2 linked regions of the Mus musculus genome follow. The protein of the gene in region 1 purifies or fractionates together with the protein of each later gene. This does not show direct contact. Links are inferred from orthologs where the notes say so. Each region holds a gene or a part of one and is shown on either strand. Other genes may lie near its edges.

The links.
Region 2: the proteins of Fbxl8 (region 1) and Cul1 purify together in Homo sapiens (affinity purification with mass spectrometry; 5 studies listed by BioGRID and IntAct, with this or other methods). This does not show direct contact. The link is inferred for Mus musculus from reciprocal best matches to the Homo sapiens genes FBXL8 and CUL1.

Annotation. Positions count from the first base shown.
Region 1 is NC_000074.6:105,261,867-105,268,813, forward strand, and holds the start of Fbxl8 (F-box/LRR-repeat protein 8), read left to right. Parts: upstream 1-2,781; 5' UTR 2,782-2,894; intron 2,895-4,828; 5' UTR 4,829-5,147; coding exon 5,148-5,299; intron 5,300-5,764; exon of another isoform or gene 5,765-5,779; coding exon of another isoform or gene 5,780-6,000; intron 6,001-6,143; coding exon 6,144-6,947. UniProt on the Homo sapiens protein: Substrate-recognition component of the SCF (SKP1-CUL1-F-box protein)-type E3 ubiquitin ligase complex.
Region 2 is NC_000072.6:47,517,144-47,523,653, forward strand, and holds part of Cul1 (cullin-1), read left to right. Parts: coding exon 1-90; intron 91-1,021; coding exon 1,022-1,139; intron 1,140-1,992; coding exon 1,993-2,069; intron 2,070-2,504; coding exon 2,505-2,636; intron 2,637-3,649; coding exon 3,650-3,742; intron 3,743-5,934; coding exon 5,935-5,982; intron 5,983-6,060; coding exon 6,061-6,143; intron 6,144-6,510. UniProt on the Homo sapiens protein: Core component of multiple cullin-RING-based SCF (SKP1-CUL1-F-box protein) E3 ubiquitin-protein ligase complexes, which mediate the ubiquitination of proteins involved in cell cycle progression, signal transduction and transcription.

The sequences.
Region 1 (6,947 bases):
TCACGGATCCAGCTATCTCGGACCATCCTTGACTGCTCAGTTATGCGCGCTAAGTCATCCTGCTTTGTGATTGGGCCCGTGTTCTCTTTGGCTATTCCTAAACAAATTCCCTAACTTTCCACATGAGACATGAGGGCCCCTCAACGCCAGGATCACTTCCATCCATCTCCTGTTAAAATCTTGCTTCCAAACCTCTAATAGAGAGTCAAGGTTAAGAAGAAAGCACCTGGGCAGGGCATAGCATAGACCTGGTGGAGGGAAATGATGAACTGTCCATGGCCCTATCTAGGTCTAAGCATGGGGACACGGGGTTTTTGTATGTTTTTGGTTGGTTGGTTTGTTGGGGTGTTTGTTTTCTGAGACAAGGTACCCCTGGCTGCCCTGGATCTCATTCTGTAGACCAGGCTATCCTCAGACTCAAGAGATCCACTGCCTCTTTCTCCCAAGTGCTGGGATTAAAGGCGTGCATCAACACTGCCCAGCTAAGGAACATAGATTTTTGAAACTCCTCTTCCATCAGAAAATTTAATACTAATATACATATATTTACTAAAACAGTCTGAAAATTATTGTCTATCTCTGGGCAGGTTGGGATGGTTTTAATTTTCTTTGTATTAAGCAATATCTCCTACTTTATATATAAGAGACATGTTTCTTATTCGGGAGGCAGAGGCAGGTGGATTTCTAAGTTCGAGGCCAGCCTGGTCTACAGAGTGAGTTCCAGGACAGCCAAAGCTACACAGAGAAACCCTGTCTCAAATAACAAGAATGAAAGAAAGAAAGAGAGAGAGAGAGAGAGAGAGAGAGAGAGAGAGAGAGAGAGAGAGAGAAAGGAAGGAAGGAAGGAAGGAAGGAAGGAAGGAAAGAAAGAAAGAAAGAAAGAAAGAAAGAAAGAAAGAAAGAAAGAAAGAGTCGCTGGGCGGTGGTGGCACACACCTTCTTTAATCCCAGCACTTGGGAGGCAGAGGAAGGTGGGTTTCTGAGTTTGAGGCTAGCCTGGTCTACAGAGTGAGTTCCAGGACAGCCAGGGCTACACAGACAAACCCTGTCTCAAAAAGGAAAAAAAAAAAAAGCAGAGGAGGTGGATTGTAAATGAAATATTCCTTTAATCCCAGTATTCGGGAGGCAGAGGCAGTCAAATCTCTGAGTTTGAGGGGGCAGCCTGGTCTACAGAGTAAGATCCTGGCTCAAAAAGCCAAAAAAGAAAAGGAGAGAACTTGAGGTGATGGCATCCTATCTGTAACCTCAGCCCTCAGGAACCAAGAGCAAGAACACCAGGAAGTTCTACAGGGCAGGGCTCCAGTGACTTCCGTACTTGGGATTGAACCCTGAGCCAGGTGTACGGTAGTTCTCAGCCACTGAGCCCCACCCCAGCCCATAAATGTCTTTAGTAAAAAGTAAGGCAAAAACATCACGATGTAACTCTTCAGCTACCGAGGTATAAAACAAGCAAGGACGTCTAAGAAGTAGCTCGTGATTCATGAAACATCTAGTTCACTTTCCTACCCTTCTATCCCATGGATGTGATCCCATCCCAAGGGGTAGGAGAAGATTTGGAACTGTACTGGTGTGTGTCGGGGTACTATCCACCAGGCCTGTCAGCACAAGTGCGGTAGAGCTGGAGATGGCAGAGTAATCGATATGTAAATTCACTAGTACTGGGCAAATAGGGGAAATAGCCGCCTTGGAGTTCGCGGAGTTGGAGAAGTGAGGTTAATAGAACAGACAAGATGGAGGGAACTGGTTTCTCACTGTCCCCTTAGGAATCCTTCCCTCAGCAGATAAGAGCACTGACTGCTCTTCAGAGGTCCTGAATTCTCAGCATCCACATGATGGCTCACGACCATTTGTAATGGGAACCGATGCCCTCTTCTGGTGCATCTGAATCTCGTGTGTGTGTGTGTGTGTGTGTGTGTGTGTGTGTGTGTGTGTGTGTGTGTGTCTTTTAAAAAAAAAAATTCGTTTCCAAACCGAGTGGTGGTGGTGCACCCCTTTAATCCCAGCACTCAGGAAGCAGAGACAGGCAGATCTCTGTGAGTTCGAGGCCAGCCTGGCACTACAGAGTGCGTTCCAGGACAGCCAGGGGTACACAGAGAAACCCCGTCTCGGAAAACCAAAATGAAAAAAGAATCCTTCTCAGGCCTCCTTCCACCAGGAGGCTTCTACGCTGGGTTCCAGAACAAATGACTCTACCCAGATGTCCGGTCTCATTAACAAATAACAGTCCCCAGGTAGCCCCACTTCTGGCTAGGTGGAAGGGCTTGGCTCCCAACTCAAAGAAAGTTTGAGATTCCCAGACCATCAGAACACGCCCCCTGCTCGGGTGCGCAGTAAGCGACCTGGCCTAGGAAGGTTCCCAGTCTGCCCACTACCCCACCTTCAAACTGGGGGTTCGCGCACGACTGGGCTCAGACAGGAAGAGGGTTCTCAGAACCGTTCCCGGCCAGCCCTGCAGCCATATCCCCTCCTCCGCAGGGCCCTGACACCCACCAGAAACCCTTAGTTGGGACAAAAAACCAGAGAAGGTGGAGGTCCGAAGTCCCTCGTACCTCCCACCAAAACAGTCCGACCGGCCGCTGCCACTAACTGGCCAGCAATCGCGTGTCACCACCGCGCGGTGCTCGCCCTCGGGAAGCCAGATCTCTCGCTTTGCTGGGGCTGCACCGAGGGAGCCCACCCACCCTCCGCACTAACCTGGCCGCCGCACACTCGCCTGGCTCTGCTGCGCGCGGCTTCCGGGTGTGCGCGGAGACGCAGGGGCGGTGCCCTAGCAGAGTCGCCGGGTCCGCCCGCGCGTCCCGCCTTCTCCGCCCAGGGCCTCTCCTTCCTGCCCTAGCTGTCCTCCGTGGCCAGTCCCCTGTCTCCGGGTAAAGCCCACCTAGTCCGCTGAGCAGGTAAGATAACGGACACCCAAGTTTAGATGGCAGGACGAACTGCCCACTGGACATAGCAGTTTGGGGGTTTTGAAGCCGAAAGGGCTTCAGAGTGAGAGCCGCCAAATTTAAGTTAGTTCCTGGGGTTCAATCAGAGGGCATCTCCTGGAGATGAGAATTTTTTCTGGCGCCCCCTAGGAAATCTGGTTTGATGATCTAATCTCTGCTAGTCTTTAACACAGAAAATGGGGTGCTGTGGTTCCAGGACAAGCCTAGCTTGGAGTATCCGGGAACTCTAGTGTATACTTGAGGTAAATTCCACGAGAGACCATACACCTGGAAGACATGGGGAAATGAAACGGCAAGTGTGAACCTTTACAAAAACCTTACAGCACTTTGAAGCAAAACTGGCAGCTTCAGAGAAAACGCAGATTCCGATCCCACCCCTCTCGTAAAAGCCAAGCTCTGGGGTGTGTCTGCAGGGTTCCACCCGAGTCTTTATTAGCTAGCAGGAACCAAGGCTCCGCGAGGGTCAGGGTCCTAACTTGAACAACAGCTCCTCAAGGGTGCCAGAGCGGTCCGGCCCCAGACAGAGCCACAAGCTTTTTACCACAGGTCTGTCACAGAAAGCATGCAGGAAGTCAGTCCGTTACTAGGGGGTGGAGGCAGTGTAAAGGTGACTCCCCTTCTGGGACGCCCATCACTTCCTGATTGGCCTGTGATTTCAGACAAAAAGAAACAAACAAAAAATATTCTCTAAGACTGGTGCCTGATTAGCCCCAACAGTCAGTTTCTAGTGGACAGGATTCCTCAACTTGAAACCTATTTCTCATTTGTTCAACACACGAGAAAGTAGTTTGAAGAGCCAGTGAGGGCCAGGCTTGGTGACACACACCTTTAGTCATAGCTTTCCCAGGCAGAGGCAGGAGGATCTCTGTGAGTTCAAGGCCAGCCTGGTCTACATAGGGAGTTCCAGGCCAGCCAAGGCTAGACAGTGAGACCCTATTTTTTAAAAAAGAAAGAAAAACCAAACCACTGAGGCAGGAGTATTCTCAAGTTCAATACCAGCCAGGGCCACACAGCAGAGATGAGAAAAGAGAAAAAAAAGAGAGGGTAGATAGGAAAGTGTGTGTGTGTGTGTGTGTGCGTGTGTGTATGTATGTGTGTGTGTGTAGGCACAACCACTGGAACTATACCTTTAAGCCTTTAGGGAGATTTACTATTCTGAGCAGAGACTTCTGTTTAAAAAAAAATTTATGTATTTAATGTATGTGAATATACTGTAGCTGTCTTCAGACACACCAGAAGAGGGCATCAGATCCCATTACAGATGGTTGTGAGCCACCATGTGGTTGCTGGGAATTGAACTCAGGACCTCTGAAAGAGCAGTCAGTGCTCTTAACCGCTGAGCCATCTCTCCAGCCCTGCATTTTCTTTTTTAAATTAGCTTAATTTATTTAATGTGTATGGTTTTACACATGCGTCTGTGTAACATGAGCGTGCAGTGCCACAGAGGCTACAAAGTTTTTAGATCTCCTAGACCTATAGCTATAGACAGTTTTTACTGGCTATGGAGGTGCTGGGAACCAAAGTCCTACCTTCTTTGAGGGCAACAAGCGCTCTTAACAGCTGAGCTCTCTCTCCAGTGCCTTGTCTTAAAAACAATTTTTAGATTTACACTTTTTTTTATGTGTATGAGTGTTTGCGTACACTGTACACTATGTGTGTCTCTGGTGCCCACAGAGGCTAGAAGAGGGCATCAAGTCTCCTGAACCTGAAATTAAGGGCAGTTGTGAGCCACATGTGGGGTGCTGGGAACCAAACCTGGGTCCTCTGCAAGTACAGCCAAGGTTTTGTTGTTTGATTGTTTGTTTGTAGCTGCTGAGCCATCCCTCCAGTCCCATTCTTTTGTTGTATGTTTTCTAAACTTTTTGTTTGTTTGTTTGTTTATTCAGGTATGTGTGTGGAAGTGCTCCAATCAGGGTACACATGCATTCTTGGAGATCAGAGGACAACTTTCAGAAGTCAGTTCTTCTGAAAGAGTTCTGACCCCGGGACAGAACTCAGGTCGTCCGTGTTTGGGGCAAATGCCTTTATCTGCTAAGCCATCTCACAGCCTGGGATCTCTGCCTTCTCTACAAACCACATAGCGCTTCCTGGGCTCCCAGTATTACTGTGCACAAGCATCCATCCGCCCCTCTGACCCAGGGGACTCCCTCTTTCACTTTAGTCACAGCAGCTGGGAGCAGCAGGCCCCTCCCCTCCAGCCGCACCATGGGGGAGCTGGTCGACAATCTGCCAGAGGAAGTGTTGGCGCTCATCTTCCGTGACCTGCCTCTCAGGGACCTTGCTGTAGCCACCAGAGTCTGCAGGGCCTGGGCGGCGGCTGCCGCCAACAGCACCGTGTGGTCTGATAAAAGCATCAGGTGAGTTGCTTCCTGTGGCCCACTCATCTTCATCTGTGAAGACAGGCTCATTGGCTGCCTGTTATATACCAATTGGCATTGTCTTTTTATTATTTTTTTTTTCCGAAACAGAGGATTGAACCCAGTGTCTGACATTTGCTAGGCAAGGAGTCTACCACTCACTCTGTCCCAAGTCCCCAACTAGTATCCTAAGTGCCTTACATAAGTTAACTCATTTAATGCTCACAGGAAGATGAGGGGTAGTGGGTCTGGAGTAGTGCCTCCTTTGCACAGACAGGAAATGGAGGCTTATAGACTTAATCACTTGGGTCTGGAGGCCCTGCTCCATCTCCACCGACTACTGAGCATGCCAAGTTCCTTAAATACCCCCCCACACACACACACACACACACTCCTGGAGTGGCGGGGTGGGGGTGGGGGGGCTGCTGGGAGAGGGTTCAACCTCAGGCAGAAACCTCTGAAGTCTTCTAAAGAAATAGGATGGAAATTCCTGTCATAGGCAAGAGGCAAAGTGAAAGGCACATAGAAATGACTCTTCAGTTAAGAGCACTAGCGGCTCTTCTAGAAGACCTGAGTTCGATTCCTGCCTCGCACACAGCAGCTCGAAGCTATGGCTGTAATTTCAGCTCTAGGGATTCCAACACCCCCTTCTGGCCTCCTCAGACACCAGGCACGCCTGTGGTGCACGGACATACATGCAGGTAAAGCAAGAATACACACACACACACACACACACACACACACACACACACACACACAAATCAAAACATTAATTTAAAAAAAAAGTTTCTTTCCTAGTTCATGGTGACACCGCTAATTTCTTTCTATGTCGCTCTAACATAAGTTGTGACTGTGAGCTGGAAGACTTGTTGCCACCATATCTGTCCTCCTGCCTGGACCACATTCACAACCTAAGGCTGGAATATGAGCCATCAAAGAAGCCCAGCCGCGGAACGGCCACCGAGCTGCTGACCGCTCTGGCCAGCCGAGCCCCAAGGCTCCGAGGCCTGCGCTTGGAGTGCCGCGGAGAGAAACCGCTTTTTGATGCGGGCCAGGACATCCTGGGAGCTGTGCACGCAGTCTGCGGAGCTGCTCACCAACTTCGCCACCTCGACCTGCGCCACTTGCCCTACACGCTGGACGACACTCTGGTGCTTAAGGCTGCTGCTGGCTGTCCCGAGCTCCGCAGTCTTTTCCTGGACAACCATGCACTGGTGAACAGCGTGCAGCCCACTTCTGTGCTCAAACTACTGGAGGCCTGTCCTCACTTGCGCGCCCTTGGACTGCACCTTGCTAGTATGTCGCGCGCCGCGCTGGAATTGCTAGCCGCTCCGCATCGCTCCCCTTTTGCACTTCTGGCACTGAGGTGCGCGTGCCCCGAAGATGCTCGTGCTTCCCCTCTGCCTGATGAAGCCTGGGCGACGCTGAGTTGCCGCCATCCTGGGCTGGAGGTGGAGCTGGAGCTGGAGCCTGTGCTTCCAGATGAGGCCGTGACGCGCATCCTGCAACCAGCAGTACCAGTGGCTGTGCTGCGTCTCAACCTCTCCGGTGACACTGTAGGACCCGTGCGCTTCGCAACGCGCCACTACGCTGAAACTTTGCGCGCCCTCGAGGTGCGCGCGTCCGCATCCCCGGAGTTGCACACCGC
Region 2 (6,510 bases), on another chromosome or scaffold:
AAGTTCTATGCAAAGATGCTTGCCAAGAGACTGGTACATCAAAACAGTGCGAGTGACGATGCTGAAGCAAGCATGATCTCCAAGTTAAAGGTACTATTCTTTTCCTGGAGAATCCCAATTTCCTCAGGGTTTATTGACTTGGTTCGTGCAGTGTGAGACCTGCTTTCCAGCCAGGCCTCCGGTGCTTTCCTTCCTCTGCCACCCTGTTTAGGGTTCTTCTGTTCCATGTAGCCCTTCCTTGGCCAGGCTCTGCTCACCTTTGCCACATCCTCACCTGCTTCCCACACATCCAGCCTTGTTGGCTCTGTGTGAATGCTTAGTGGTTTTCTTAGCTCAGACTGCCAAAACAAAATACCATGGGCCAGGAAACTTAGGCAAAGAAATGAACTCTCCATTCTGGGGACTCAGAAGTCTTAAAAATCTAGATCTTGTTTTTGAAGCAGGCTCTCCTGGCTCTCAGTCAACCACTGTTTGGCCCATTACTCACAGGGTAACATCCTCTTAAAGAGGCACCCTACACTCATGAACGCACAAGGACTCATCTTCAGATACCTCCACACCAGAGGTTTAAACTTCAGCAGGCACATTCTAAAAAAAGACAGTTTAGTGGTAGAATAAGGGACTAGCAGATTATTTGGGCTATTGGAAGGGTTTGGCTTGAGGGTCATTGACAGCCCAGGCTAGCCTCTTCCTGCTGAGTACGGTGCTTTCAGATGTGCAACATTCCACCTGTTTCTAAATTATTTCCTATCGTAATCTCTTTAAATTGCAGCTTTAAATGCTGCAATATGTTTACTGCATATTGAAGACCCAATTGTCCAACTTTTAATGGTCTTTTAGAACATAAAACTTTAATCTGTATATATTTATGCCATAAGATATGACTAAATCTTAGTAATAGCTTCAAAGAACTTAAGAAAAAATATATTGTATTGTGATTTCTCTAAAAATCCCTTATATGCATTGCATACATTCATGTTTCTATACAAATTAATGAGACAGTTGCCTGGGTTTATTTCAGCAAGCTTGTGGTTTTGAGTACACTTCCAAACTTCAGCGAATGTTTCAAGACATTGGTGTAAGCAAAGATCTGAATGAACAGTTCAAAAAACACCTGACGAATTCAGAACCGCTGGACTGTGAGTACTGAGTGCTCATAGCAGGGCTCTTTGGGCTCTTGGTAGCAGATGAGAGAAGTGACATAATACGGAGTGAGGGTGGTAAATGGGGTCAGAGTTTCCAAGACTTAGAAGCAGGCGTTTCCTTCCAAGTGCTCTCTCCTCCTCCTGACACCCAGATGGGATGGTGGCAGCTTTGCTGAGTGAGACCAGTCAGGTCTGCCTCGCTCTGTGCTGATCCATGGGCTTGTTGTGCCTTTGAACCTGAGTTTGAATACATTTCTTTCTTCTCTCTCTTACTTGTTTTTGAAGAAAGTTGGAGAATTTTATTCTTCCCAAATCAAAATTGCTGTCATCATTAAGCTTGTATTGCTAATGGACATCTACGTTATCTGTGAAAATGAAAGTGTCCTAATTAATAGGTTCCAGAAGTCTCTACTGTCGGTCTTGACAGTAGTACATGGTACACAAGTTGTGGTGGAGGTAGTGCTTTGCTCTTGTGCTTTCCATTTTCTTGTATTTGGGTCTGTTAAATCAATCATTCCTGGTCACCATCCATTGCTTGTGCATGCTGAACTTCATATCCAGAAGGGGAAAAAATAAAATTGATCAAGGCAGATCAGCTTAGAAACTCTATATTGACAGTAAAGTGGAAAACCATTGCCCTGGAGGACAACAGTTGCTAGGTTCTTCAACCTTTGGTTTGAAGTTTTGATCTAGGACATCTCACTGTGTATGTGTAGCCTACTAGACTTGTAATGAATTTTTAAATCTTTTGACTATTTCTTGTGTGTGTGTGTGTGTGTGTGTGTGTGTGTGTGTAACAATAGAATTTTAAAATTTGTAGAGTAATTAAATGTGTTCCTTCCCACAGTGGACTTCAGTATTCAGGTCCTGAGTTCTGGATCGTGGCCCTTTCAGCAGTCTTGCACGTTTGCCTTGCCGTCAGAGGTAAGGATAGTTTTGGTTTTGTTTCTTGGTCTCTTTCAGCTGGCAAGAGGGAAAAGGGCTGCCTGACCTTAGTGTGCTGACCGAAGTGCTGTGTAAGCAGTCAGTGCACTGTTTGTGGGGAATGTGAAATGGGCCTGTGTTAAATAGCGAAAGGCTCTCTGTTGCAGCAAACAGTGTTGACTTATTCCCGACAAGCAGAGTCTCACTGGTTACATGGTAAACTCTTGATGTACCTACTGGGCATGAGGTAGAAACCTGCTTTGGTACTCACTCTGCAGTCTTAAAGTGTTCACGAGACGGTCCCCGGCATTTGTAGTTCACTTCTCTGTAAGCACTGATTTTGTTCTCAGAACTTGGGGCAGGGACTTTTATTTAGAAATGCTGACTGTAGAATGGAAAGCCATGGATGCCGCATAGTGCTGTTCTTTCATCTAGTTGGAGCGCAGTTATCAGCGATTTACAGCTTTCTACGCCAGCCGTCACAGTGGCAGAAAATTGACATGGTTGTATCAACTGTCCAAAGGGGAACTAGTCACTAACTGCTTCAAAAACAGATACACTTTGCAGGTAAAATCTTTTTATTTGGGTAAAATATTTGAGTACTAATTGATGATAAGACAACTTATAGAAACCCAATTAGATAGCTCATGCAGTGGGATGCAGTTCATTCTCTGACAAAGCCATGTAGGGAGTAAAGCATGCTTGTCATGGGCAGGTGAGCTGAACTCATTTTCTCTGACTATAGATGCAAGTCACTTCCTTACTCTGAGCCTCAGGTTTCTCCTCCACTGAGTTAGCAGTGTTTGCTTACACCATAGAAGTGATCTTTGATAGGTTTGGTAGGTTTGCATGACATGCTGGGGTGACAAATTTAAAAGATGACATTTCACTCTCTAGTTCCAGTCAGAGCTCTCTGCAGCCTCACAGTGATAAGACTCCCTAGCACGTCTAGCAGTGTGCAGTGCCTAGTAATAACAGCTATGGGCTGATTGCATTTCTACAAAAGCTGGGGTCCAGTTAACTGTGGTTCAAAGTCTAGGTTCCTTCTACTCTCACTTCTGTACTCAGTGTGTTTCACAAGTAAAACTTACTTCATTCCTTGAAAAGGTCTCAGTAGTGAGCTGGTAATGGTAATTAAACTGTAGAGTATGTGACGAAAACTACTCACTAGTTTAACCTTTGTACTTCCACATTGATAAGTTAATTAAGTAACCATTATACCTGGTGTGGAGGTCTCTGGCAACTTAAACATACACATAATGTATAAATGGTATGCATCCCCAAAATAATTTTTGTTCTACTATGCATAAAAATTAAACTTATAATTAATGTCTCTATACCTGGTGTATGTTTATATTATAGGTATGCTCATATATTTATGCTTATATAGGGTACATTTCAGGAGAAAAATGAGTCTTTTCAGTGTTTGAAAGGTATCTTTAAGAAAAATGTCCATTCCCCTGGTTGTGACATTTTGTATTCCCTCTCCTTTTTTGCCTCTGAAGAATGCTTTTCATGAAAGCAGGTTGTACCTTTCCCATGTTTTCACATTTCCTCTTTCTTTCCTCTGGACCACGAAGGCGTCCACATTTCAGATGGCAATCCTGCTTCAGTATAACACAGAAGACGCCTATACTGTGCAGCAGTTGACTGACAGCACTCAGATTAAAATGGTATTTCCACTGTTTGGTACTCACGCTATACTCTCAAGCTGCCTCTTCTTTGTTCATTGGGATGTTGTGGAAAGGGGGAGAGGACATGGGTTTCTTTGGCTTACTAGATGTTAGCAGCATGGAGAAAAAAGTAAAAGCAGTAAACTCTGACCAAGGCACCAGAAGACCAGGCCAGATAGATCCACAGAGAGCATTTCACTGGGGTGTCTGACACCTTGGATGCCAACAGGACCACTGAGTTCTCATGGTTGAGTCAGAGAAGTTTATATAATGGGCAAGGTTCACTTGAGCCAAAAGTTAACCTGACTAGTCTCAAACTTGTGTGAGGAGCATCCAGCACATTCCTGGTACTGGTGGTACTAAGGTCTAGGGTGTAAAGCTCCATGTGCCACTATCACGACTTTATAACTTTATAGTATTTAAGCAAATTGTTTTGGAGAAAACATGGGTTCTCAGGCAGGCATGGTGGCCAGCACCTGTGATGGTGGTGGCCAGTTCCAGCTGTGTCCTTATAAACCTTTATGCCAGTTTCATAAGGGTGTTAAGAAATGCTCTCTTTTGTCAGCATTATAAGGACAGTGTGAGATGCTCTATTTTTTTTAAGGGTTTCTCTGTGTAGCCCTGGCTATCCAGGAACTCTCTTTGTAATCCATGCTGGCTATGAACTCAGAGAGATCTGCCTGACTCTACCTCCCATGTGCTAGGCTTAATGGTGTGTGCTACCACCACTGTCCCTTGAAATGCTGTTTTAAACCCAGTCAGTCACTGTCTGTCTCTGTCTCTATCTCTGTGTGTGTGTGTGTGTGTGTGTGTGTGTGTGTGTGTGTGTGTGTGTGTGTAGATATATGTACTTGTTTGTATTCACGTGTTGGAGACTAGAAGTAGATGTCACTGTGGTGCACATGTCATTCTTTCTTTGAAGCAGCGTCTGTCAGTGAATCTGGAGCTTATCCATTCAGCTAGGCTGCACAGCAGTAAGACTTGGGGATTCACTCATTTATTCCCCATAGCACTCCAGACAAGGCTGAGCTTTCACGTGAGTGCTGGGAAGCAGATAAAAGATTTTTTAACTTTCCTCATTCACTTTATTTTTTGTTTGGTTGGGATTTTCTGTTGCTGTTGTTGAAATAGTCACCTGTACTCTAGGATGACCTCAGATTCACTGAGTAGGTAGAGAATGCCTTAAACTAACTTACTGTCCTGTCTTTGTACATACATCTGTGTATCTGTGATAGATTACTGGCATGCTCCACACCCGTTTTTATGCAGTGCAGGAGATTGAATCCAGGGCCTTGGGCATGCTAGCCAAGTACTCCACCAGTTAAGAAGTGGTCCCTGCCCCCATTTAATTTTTTAGTTGACATGTGTACTTACTGATGGGTACACTGCTGTACATGCATTTTTTTTTTTTAAATTTCAATGAAACCTACTTTTTTTTTTTTTTTTTTGCTGGCTGGTTGGAAGGGTTGACAGGTCTGCCTCTCTAGTCTCTGCTTGGCCTTCTCCTCGATGCCACACCAATCTTTCTACTTCTTTGTATTACTAGAATTACCTTATGGGTCTTTAGCTGCCCTCCTCCAGACCCCAGTGCATAGCTGTCACTTCTCTGACAGCATGGGAGCCTTGGTTAAGAGTGCAGGTGAGAAAGTTAAGTCCCCATGCCATGAGGCTTGATGGTTCTGGAAATCACCAGAGCAGCTAATAACTACAGAGGTCATATGATGCACTGAATTGCCAACTAAAGCCAAGTTGGCAGCAAGTCAGCTGCCTCCAAGTCTCAGCATGTTCATGAATGCAGTGCAACTTTGGTTCTGCTGAAGCTCCTTACTGCTTCGTTCGCATGTTCAGGGGTGTAGTTTACTGGTAGAACACTTGCCTGGCACACAAAGCCTTGGGTTTGATCCACAGCACCACATAAATGTCTTATGAACCTTCAGACATCGAAGAAGTGAATCATTTCCTGTAGGTTTCATTGAAGAAGCAGGCCATATATTGTGTCCAGTGTTTGTGGGAAACTGCATTATTATTGCCTTTGAATAGTGGGTGCTTCAGGCCATAAAGAACAAGCCATGTCACTTTCTCTGACTAGTTCTGCTTTGAGGTGATGACCATTTCTGTGAGGCTGGGCCTCTGGGACAGGCACTGTAAAGAAGTATTCTTCCTCCTTGCTTACCATCTTTCTCTGATTGCAGGACATTTTGGCACAAGTCCTACAGATTTTACTGAAGTCGAAATTGCTGGTATGTTTGTATACTTTGTGTTGAGCTAGAAGACACCCTTTCCCTAGGATGTGCCTAGTAACAGTTATTTTCTTCTAGGTCTTAGAAGATGAAAATGCCAATGTTGATGAGGTGGAATTGAAGCCAGACACCTTAATAAAGTTATATCTTGGTTATAAAAAGTAAGAAAAATCTAACATGTAGCTGCTGGTCTTATCCCCTGGCACTGGCCTACTTCAGGATCGGCACGAGCCAGGGGAACTGGACTCTGCTTTTAATGCTGAGTTTGATTTTCTTTATCTTGAAAATAAGTCTTGAGTGGCTCATATGGCATGTTTAGACCTTTATATCAAGTTATTTTGGTGTTATTACAATTCACTAAATTGAGGGGTCAAGTGTCACTTCAGTCATCCCTCTGTGGTAAAATTACATAGCATTGGTGGAGGGGCAGTTCGCAGGTAGCAGTAGAAATGATGAGAAATGATATAGAAGAGATGGGTGTGAACCACCTGCCCAGTCCAGGGATGCAAAACGTGTAGTTGAAAGACA